Linked DNA regions of Callithrix jacchus. The protein of the gene in region 1 interacts with the protein of each later gene in a pairwise test. Links are inferred from orthologs where the notes say so. Each region holds a gene or a part of one and is shown on either strand. Other genes may lie near its edges.

Evidence for each region.
Region 2: the proteins of CDC25B (region 1) and CDK2 interact in a two-hybrid assay, tested with the Homo sapiens proteins (2 studies listed by BioGRID and IntAct). The link is inferred for Callithrix jacchus from reciprocal best matches to the Homo sapiens genes CDC25B and CDK2.

The regions. Positions count from the first base shown.
Region 1 is NC_133506.1:11,330,435-11,334,932, reverse strand, and holds part of CDC25B (M-phase inducer phosphatase 2), read right to left. Parts: coding exon 4,437-4,498; intron 4,316-4,436; coding exon 4,139-4,315; intron 3,960-4,138; coding exon 3,864-3,959; intron 3,038-3,863; coding exon 2,975-3,037; intron 2,824-2,974; coding exon 2,725-2,823; intron 2,534-2,724; coding exon 2,400-2,533; intron 1,237-2,399; coding exon 1,125-1,236; intron 986-1,124; coding exon 845-985; 3' UTR 1-844. UniProt on the Homo sapiens protein: Tyrosine protein phosphatase which functions as a dosage-dependent inducer of mitotic progression. Directly dephosphorylates CDK1 and stimulates its kinase activity.
Region 2 is NC_133510.1:63,707,960-63,713,255, forward strand, and holds the start of CDK2 (cyclin-dependent kinase 2), read right to left. Parts: upstream 3,408-5,296; 5' UTR 3,173-3,407; coding exon 3,057-3,172; intron 2,331-3,056; coding exon 2,253-2,330; intron 2,141-2,252; coding exon 2,020-2,140; intron 1,413-2,019; coding exon 1,242-1,412; intron 719-1,241; coding exon 617-718; intron 1-616. Other genes in the region: melanocyte protein PMEL, read left to right, coding at 4,472-4,547. UniProt on the Homo sapiens protein: Serine/threonine-protein kinase involved in the control of the cell cycle; essential for meiosis, but dispensable for mitosis. Phosphorylates CABLES1, CTNNB1, CDK2AP2, ERCC6, NBN, USP37, p53/TP53, NPM1, CDK7, RB1, BRCA2, MYC, NPAT, EZH2.

The DNA of each region.
Region 1 (4,498 bases):
TCCATCCATCCATCCTTGCAATAAGACAGCAGCAAGTTCTGACCAGTCAGGTCCCAGGGTTCACAGCAGTAGGGACTGGGCTTCCAGCAGGCTCATGATTCAGGCCTTAGCCCTTGCCCTGGGAGCCCCCAAGGATAATAACATCCCTTTCTGGGGCAATGAAACTGGGACCAAGTGGGTAACTGATATTTGACAGGGGAATGTAAATAGCCTACGAAAGGGTCCTGAGGTGGGTATAAAGTCAAACAGACCAAGCACGCAGGTAACACTGAAACAGGAACGAGTAAGAGCTTCTGTTCAGGCTGGAGGTGCTCATATGGCGGGACAGGAAAGAGAACAAGAGAGAGGGGCAACATGGCAGACATACCATGGTTCCTACAGAGGTTAGGGGCTGCTGTGGCCTGGGAGATGCACAGGGCAGAGAGCTGACTCCCAGGCCAGGAAGGAGTTTAGCTGTGACCCATCCTTGGGGACCAGGGCTGTCCCCCAGCCTCAGCTGACACACATACAAAGGAGCTTTTCAGGACACAGGAAGATGAAGGGTTAACCCTAACAAGGGAAAAACCTCCTGGAGGACACAAAATACTGCCTTTAAGCTGGTATTAACCCAGCTTAACTAACTCAACAGACTGGGCTCTTCCAGGAGTGTGGGGGCACCAGGATATGGAAAATGATGGGATGAAACAGGGGAATCGGGGCTGGGGCAGACAGGCAGGATACCCACACCATCTTTCCCAAGGACAGCACCTGAGGCCTCCAGCAGGCCCTCAGCCAAGCAGGCCCGTAGGGCAGCTGGCTCCAGGCCTTGAAAGGCAAGGGAGGTAACAGGACCGATGCAGGCCCCTCACTGGTCCTGCAGCCTGCTGCAGAGCTCCCGCCGGCTCCGCTCCCCAGCCCAGCTGCGGGTCTTCAGGCGGAAGGTCTTTAGCTCATCCTTGAAGGCCTGGTGGTTCATGGGCCGGTAGTCCTGCGGTTCACAGAAGTTCTAGGGCAGGATAAGAGGGGTCAATGCAGTGGAATGGGTAACCTTGGCAGGGACCCAACCCTCCCACCCCGCTTCCCAGGGCTCGGGAATGGCCAAGCCAACCCTCACACAGAGCTGGTGGCATTGCCACCCACGCTACCGGGTGCTGAGGGAAGAACTCCTTGTAGCCGCCTTTCAGGATATACATCTCGGGATAGTAGAGGCTGGGGTAGTCATTGACAGAACGGTCTCGCTCCCTGATGAAACGGCACCTGAGATGGCACGGGCAGGGTGTGGTCAGAGCGGGGCATGCAGTGGCTTGTACATCATGGGACCTATTCCCCACATCCACTCCTCTGAGGGCCCTGGGAAGCCACAGAAGGCTTTTGAGTACAGGAATGTAACCACAAGAACACTTTCAGATCAGTCTGGCTATACAGAAGAGGGTGGGGGAGGTGGAAGGAAGAAGGTAAAATCAAGGGAATGGGCTCTCCATTTCTAGAAGACAGTTGCACCATCTTTGTTAGCGATATCTGTGCCTGGACCAGGAAAGGAAAAGCAGGAGAGGAGACAAGTGGGCCAAATTCAAGCGATCCATTCAGGTCACTCGTGGATAAGACCCAGTGAGGACCAGTGGTGGGGAGAAGGGAGGAGGAGGGCCCAAGACTGAAGCCAGTGCCCAGGCCCAGTGCCTGGGTAGAGGTGGGTGCCATGTGCTGGGATGCCTGGAGAAAATGGGAGGGCAGCAGGGATGAGGTCTCTGTAAGGGGCATCTGGGTGCAGATTCCCAGCACATGGGTGAGGCCAGGCTGGAGAGCCACTAGCAGTCAGATGGACCAGTGGCAACCCAGGAAGAGGTAAGGGTGGGAGGACGGATGGCCAGGCAGAGCAGGAACAGAGATGGAAGGAGCTCAGCCAGGGTTGGGGAGGCCCAGGTGCTGTGGATGCCAGCAGAGCAGGTTCCAATGGAGACCTAACAGCACCGAACACTGGAAGGGTCAGGGTCACTGGAGACTGACACAGGGCCCTTGGATTTTGAGAAAGGCACTGCTAGAGACTTGGAACCAGATTTTCTGGTGGGTGGCGGCAAGGATGGGGTTGCAGACATGAGGCCTGATAGGCAGGACTGTGAGGGGGAAGGGAGGTGGGTACCATGCACAGTGAAGAGGGGCTGAGGTCAGCTCCAGGCCATCAGGTGGGACAGTCCAGCAAATCTGGTTCCAAGTCTCTAGCAGTGCCTTTCTCAAAATCTAAGGGCCCTGTGTCAGTCTCCAGTGACCCTGACCCTTCCAGTGTTCAGTGCTGTTAGGTCTCCATTGGAACCTGCTCTGCTGGCATCCACAGCACCTGGCCATCACAATGGTGCCAGCACATGTAAGCCTGGGCAGGGAAGGCTGGGGCAAACACTGGCTGGCTGGGTGGAGCTGGGACTCACATTCGGGGCCCACGCTCAGATGAGAATTCACAGTGGAAAATGAGGATGACTCTCTTGTCCAGGCTACAGGGTGTGATGGGGCTCTGCAACAGAAAGCTCTCGGCGTCTCGTTCCAGAGGCAAGTTCACCGCAGTCTGCCAGGAAGCCAGAGGTCAGGCACAGCCCGGGGCCCCTCCCAGGAGGCAGGCTCCTCCCCCTGCAGTCCCTGTCCTCCTCTTACTGGTCAGGAACTCCCCATGAGAGGGCGTACCCGTCCTCCATTCACTCTCTTAGCAAAGCAAGGACCTAAACCAGGTGGGATCTTCAAGGCCTCTCCCCACCTTACCTTGATGTGCCCACCTTCATACTCATAGGGGTATCTGCAGTCCACAATCACAAACTTCTCCACGATGTTGCTGAACTTGCCCATCAACAGGGCCACCATCTATAGGAGGTCATGGGAGTCGGTCAGGATGGCAGCTGGCAGATGGCCCTAGCCTGTCCTCTGGCCTAGTCTATGCAGCCCGTCCCCAGGGAAGGTCAACAACGGAGCTGCAGTCCTAAATGCGCCCAGAAAATAGTGCAATGCTGTTTACCGTTTCTGGTGAAATGTACTTGAGGTCTTGGTGCTTTCCATCGACAGTCTGTAGGAGGAAGGCCTGAAGGGAAGGGAAGGGATGGAGAAAGTTAAATTGGTAAGACCAGGAGCCTGAAAAGGATGAAGTTTCATTTTCAAGCCCAGAGGCCACACCTGCTTTGGCCTTCAAATTCAGCTCTGGTTCCCATAGCAACTGAGAAGCACCTCTTGGGTCTGACACCTAGGGAACAACCTTCCAAGGGGAAAGGAAAACGAAAAAGGGAAGCGGAAGAGATGGACCCCACACTCTGCTCCCTACCCTCTGCCAAGCCCACAGGTGAGGCATGAGGGGGTTCCAAGCTAGGTATGAGCTTGGAAATAAGATGGAGATACAACAGATGGCTGGAGTAACTTGAGGTAGAGTCAGGGGACCAAGGAGGGCCAGAGGGAGGAGTCTGTGTAAGAACAAAGGATAAAAAGATATAAAGGACAACCCACGTGGTGGCTCACGCCTGTAATCCCAGCACTTTGGGAGGCGAAGGTGGGTGGATCACCTGAGGTCTGGATTTCAAGACCAGCCTGGCCAACATGGCGAAAACCTGTCTCTGCTAAAAATACAAAAATTAGCTGGGCATGGTGGCACATGCCTGTAATCCCAACTACTTGGGAGGCTGAGGAAGGAGAATTGCTTGAACCCAGGAGTTAGAGGTTGCAGTGAGCTGAGATCATGCCACTGCACTCCAGCCTGCAGGATGGGAGCAAGACTCCATCTCAAAAAAAAAAAGATACAAAGGACAAAGAAAATGGGGGCTCTGGGAGAGAGGGAGGAACCCAAGCAGCCCCTGGGCTAGAGGGTTCCTAGTCAGTAACAGGTCCAGCCCCCCAGACTCCTTCGATGCCACAGGTACCTTAGAGTAATCTCCAATCAGCTCTCGGTGGTCACTGTCCAGGAGGTTCTCGATCTCATCATGACACAGTGATTTTGAGCGGAGGACTCGGGCTTTCTGGAAAGTGAGTCAGATGGAGGCCAGGGTCAGGGGTGGGGCTGCCCTCAGTGCCCTGTCTGGCTGGTACCCCATTTCCCTGCCATGCCCAGGCTGCCACCTGCCCTCTGCCACAAACTTAGTCAAGGAGTTGGCCGCCCAGGTATATACCTAAGTGGGCCCAGGAGGAAGGCACTCACAGGTTCCTCAGGCTCCTGCTGCTCCTCCGGAGGGGTCACACTCCGCCTCCGCTTATTCTGCACTGGCGTGTCCCTGTCCTGGGGCCGCTCCAGCCTCTTGAGGATGGGCCGGATCACGCTGCAGGGCATGGATGGAGAGCGGAAGAGCCGCTGGCACTTGCTGTACATGATGAGGTCCTGGCAGGGACAGCAGATCAGGGATCAGAGTGCCCAGGCCCCATCCCATCCCTCAAATCCACCAGAGGGTAGGATGGACCCCATGCCTCCAAATTCGGAGGAGGCCATCCCAGAGGCCCACCTGCTCCTCTTCCTTTTCCAAGGTCTTGACCAGTGGGGCGCTAATGAGGCTCTCCATGCCCG
Region 2 (5,296 bases), on another chromosome or scaffold:
CGATTCTCCTGCCTCAACCTCCCAAATAGCTGGGATTACAGGTGTTTGTACCACCATACCCGGCTAATTTTTGTATTTTTTGTATAGATGAGGTTTCAGCATGTTAGCCAGGCTGGTCTTGAACTCCTGTCCTCAGGCAACCCACCCACCTCAGCCTCCCAAAGTGCTGGGATTACAGGCATGAGCCACTGCGCCCTGTCTAAATCTGCAGTTTAAATGAAGGGTGTGAACAAAGTGACCACAACTGGCTTCACTACATTCCTGGCACCATACAACAAGGTCTACAGGCCTTGAAGTGAAGCCCTAAAATAAAAGAGGCACTAAATGGAATCATTCTCCCAAATATATGCAGACTATGGTTAAAACAGATGCAGAAATGTTTTACCTCATTTCAGGGATAGAGATGTATACTAGGTACTAAGGCTGTTGTTGGATATCCTAACATTGTGGTTGATATTGGGGTAACAGTTGCATCCTTTCCTCACCATTCCCCTTGGTGCTACTTTAGAAAGAGAACCCTGTGATAGAAGCATCATAGGTCTGGGCCAAGAACAGTTCTGTTGTTCTTGGATGTGGGGAGAACGGGGCTGGGTGGAACTTGGGCAAGCCTCCATACCATCTCAGCAAAGATGCAGCCCAGGCTCCAGATGTCCACAGCTGTGGAGTAGTATTTGCAGCCCAGGAGGATTTCAGGAGCTCGGTACCACAGGGTGACCACCTGAGGGACAAGAATAGGGAGGGTGGGGTGGTTTATAGGGTACAGAGAGTCCCAAATCTCAGTTCCTCAGCATTACTCTGCTAACTCTTGGCCTCTTAACAAGCAGTTTCCTTCCCTCCATCTTTGCCCTCCCACTGATTTTCAGTCCATAGTTCTGGAGACCATGTTTTCTGAAACCCCAATTTGAGATCTTTCTGGAAAAACTTGAGACAAATGGTCATCATAATTTTATTTGATTTTTTATTTCTGTAGAGAGTGGTCTTGCTATGTTGCCCATGATGGTCTCGAACTCCTGGGCTCAAGTGATTATCCCACCTCAGCCTCCCAAAGTGTTGGTATTACAGGCGTGAGCCCAGTTAGCAACACAGTATGAATTCCATGCATACCCTAGGACTCTTTAGGATGTCAAGAGATTACTTCTACCTAGTAAGAAACTGTTGGCCAGATATTTTTAGTAACTTTGTGAATGCCCTAGTTAACACCTCTTGGGAAACTCAGAGAAGAAAGGCAAAAAGGGACTCACCTCATGGGTATAAGTACGAACAGGGACTCCAAAAGCTCTGGCTAGTCCAAAGTCTGCTAGCTTGATGGACCCTTCTGTGTTTATAAGCAGATTCTGAGGCTTAAGGTCTCGGTGTAGGACCCGATGAGAATGGCAGAAAGCTAGGCCCTGGAGCAGCTGGAATAGATAGCTCTGACAAAGGAGAAAGAGAGGACTGTGTTTCTTCACCACAATGAGCAGATTGGGTTTGCTCTGCGCCCCCATGGTTCTACTAAGGCCTTTACTGCGTTGGATTATAATTACATATTTACAAGGTATTTCTCCCATTAAACTGTCAGCCCAGAGAGGATAAGGAGCAAGTCTTACTCAACTTTGCATTCCTTTTCTATATGCTGCGCATTGAATAAATGTTTGTTAATAGATTCAAAGTAGCTCTGGGAGTGAAGAATCCAGCCCTAAAATAGATAATAGACTCATTGGCTAGTTCTTCCACCAAACAGAAGGGCTTTTTGGAGGAATTTACCAGGTGCTCTCAAATCCCATTTATCTGAGTTTCATCTGACCTCCCACCTGAGTTGCTAGGTTGACTCACTAGAGTTTCAACTTTGATTCTTCAGTCCAACCCTGGAGTTAATGAGTATAATGAGCAGGGAAGAAGACACAAAAAGAAGGGGAGTGTGTGTGTGTAGTAGATGAGGGCTCAGAAGAAGGCCAAGATCATAAAATATCACCCAGAATTGCCTGCCATCAGTCCCCCAAGACACGTCCATGATAGGGGGGAGCTGATGAGAAGCATTACCTTGATGAGGGGAAGAGGAATGCCAGTGAGAGCAGAGGCATCCATGAATTTCTTGAGATCTTGGTGCAGAAATTCAAAAACCAGGTAGAGTTTATTTTCTGTGTGAATGACATCCAGCAGCCTAGAGAAGGAAAGGTCAAGGAAATGGAGGTGCGAGAGAGAGAAATGGCCACACTGTACAGACAGAACTCATCCTTCTTTCCAACTGGATCTACTCTCAGACACATACTTACTTGACAATATTAGGATGGTTAAGCTCCTTAAGCAGAGAGATCTCTCGGATGGCAGTACTGGGCACACCCTCAGTCTCACTTGGAGAGGTTGGGAAAACAGAGATGGGAATATGGTTACAAACACTCCTTTTTCCCCCTCCCAGTCATTTCTTTCCCCCAAGGAGGCACCACCCAGCACCCCCTAGGAAAGTGAGAGAAGAGAAAGGGTGCTGGAAGGAGCTAATTCCTGGGTAGTCAGGGTGTGGCTTTTGGACATATTAAGGTCATTATCTCCTCTTTTCCCAGGGGTAGGTAAGTAAAGCTGCCTGGTGAAGGTAAAGCAGGGAGACTGTAACGGGTGAGAAAATAAAAAATAAATTTAAAAATGCAGGAGTAGCACCCAACCTCCCCAGAGGGGCCAGTGAGGTTCAACTGCCATTCTTTGGAAAGAGGAGAGAATTCTTAGGTGAGGGTGGGGCAGTGAGGAGGGCTCTTCATTCAGAAAGGCGCTACTCGTCTGTTCCCACATAACTCAACTCCATGGAGAGTCTTGGACTTCATCTCAGAGGCCTCCTTTCTCTCCCCGAGTCTCTGTGGTCGCACAATTTGGGGACGCCATCGGGCTCAGTTTGAGAAGAAAGTTTTCCATAGATTCTACACCACCCTGTACTCTCCACCTTCTACAGGCCCCCAACCCACCCCTCTACTTCTAAAGAAGTCCCTCCCTGCTCTCTTCCGGTCGCTGGACCGCTACCCGCCCGTGGGGGGTTGGGGGGCACAGTTAAGGAGGTCCCCTTAGGAGTCCCGGGTACAGAGGCCACTCACGTGTCCAGGCGGATTTTCTTAAGCGCCACAACTTCTCCCGTCAACTTGTTTCTGGCTTTGTACACAACTCCGTACGTGCCCTCTCCGATCTTTTCCACCTTTTGGAAGTTCTCCATGAAGCGCCAGCGAGTTGGGTCTGCCCGGCCCTGGAGCGGGGGCCTGGGAACCCTGCAGAAGGCGGTCCCTAGCTCTCGGAGGCCGAGGAGGGGGAAACAGGGCCCAGTACCGTGGCCCGGCGTCGGGATGGAACGCTGTATACCTCTCGCTCTTGTCAATTTGGCCAACTTGAAACAATGTTGCCGCCTCCCCCAGAGTTCCCGACCGCCACCAGAGGCCCCGCCCCACCTTCCCGCGTTTCCCTGGCTCCGCCCCCAGACCTTCTTATTGGTCAACGTCAGAGCGGGGGGGGCAGCCCAGAGCTCCTCCCCGCAAATGACCCCGCCCCAGGCAAGTTTGGTTCTTGGGGGCTAGACAAGTTTCTTTCCCGGTGGGGCGGCTGAACACTCTTTCCAAGTACCTGCTTAGGGTCCGAGTTTCTATGTTTCTAGTCTGTAGGGATTTCTTGATTTCTAACTCACTATTTCCACCACTCCCGGGGAAAATATGTATCGACTTAAGGTTAAATTCCACCTGGCCCAGGAGCCTCCTTTGAAAAGCAGGAAGTCAGGGATCTCGTTGTAAAGGATTCCTTGGCCTCGGAAGAGTCGTTGCCTCCGCCTCATAGCCTACCCCAACGCTGTCTCTGTTTTGGGGTGCAGGGTTCTTTTTGTTTCCTTTTTATTGAGACGGAGTTTCCCTCTTGTTGCCCAGGCTGTAGTGCAATGGCGCGATCTCGGCTCACCGCAACCTCCGCCTCCCGAGTTCTAGCAATTCTCCTGCCTCAGCCTCCCGAGTGGCTAGGGTTACAGGCATGTGCCACCATGCCCGGCTAATTTTGTATTTTTAGTAGAGATGGGGTTTCTCCATGTTGGCCAGGCTGGTCTTGAACTCCTGACCTCATGATCCACCCGCGTCAGCCTCCCAAAGTGCTGGGATTACTTACAGGTGCGAACCACCGCGCCCGCCCTTGTTTCTGTCTATTTGAGAAATTCCTGGTTTAATTCACTCTCCCATGATGAACTGTTGTGTCTGGTATGTGTTATGCAGCTGCCTTTCAGTCAGCTCTTGCCCGAGAGTGTATCAAGATGAGAATGACCCTGTGAAACCAGAAACTGTCATTGAGTAGCAGGATGGGAAAGCAATGTCTAGGGCCCAGGTTCCCTTTGTCAGTTTGTTTTTTCTTTTTCCTCTCCTCCGGCCCCTCCCAGGCATTCTCTGAAGGAGAAGAGGAAGGGCTATGCAAATGAGCACCCTTTTCTTATATAGGGGCCTATCCCAGCCCCTCAGTGTCTTTGGTTGCTGGAGGGAAGAACACAATGCGTCTGGTGATGAAAAGGTGCTTTCTCCATTTGGCTGTGATAGGTGCTTTACTGGCTGTGGGGGCTACAAAAGGTATGTGCGGATATGTGGACATGAGCAAGTGTGAACTTGGGGATGAATTCCCCTGCTCTGGTTTCTCTCCTCCTAATGGGAGATACTGGCAATATTTCAGGCTTCTCCCTCCTATTTGGTTTGTGAGGTTGTGGGCACCTGGGCTCCCTCCCTACATGGAGATTTGGGATTGAGCCTGAAAATAATTTCATATGCTTGGAGGGGCGAAGGATAGAAGGTCTGTGGCACTGATTCTGAGGCTTCCTTGGCAGTGAGCTGGAGCAGGGGCTCCAAAGGGATGAAATGTCTCTTGGGGTGGGGGATTTAAAGTGGGGAGTCAGAAAATGTGGTATTGGGTAAGAAGACTAAGGAGATACATCTCTTGGGATGGGTACGGGTGAACACAGCCCAGAAATTTTGTTCTGGGACTGAGAGAGAGATAGGCAAAGGGGTCTCAGCTGAGCATCACATGAAAAGGCTCTGGGGGATTGGGCCTCGTGACAGGAGCGGGGGAGGGGGGGTGGAGGGGGGTGGTTGGTGAGAGGGTCTGGAATGTCTCGTGCTGCTCTGAGGAGGGAGAGTTGGAAGTGGAGAAAGAATAGGGTATCTTATGACTTCTCCTGCTTTAGTGGTAGGATGCTCAATGAGATGATCCAGATTCTCCCCCAGCAGAGTCAACTAGGGTTACAGCACACATTAGAAAGGGATGAGTCCTGGTGCAGTGGCTCACACCTGTAATCCCAGCATTTTGGGAGGCTGAGGCGGGTGGA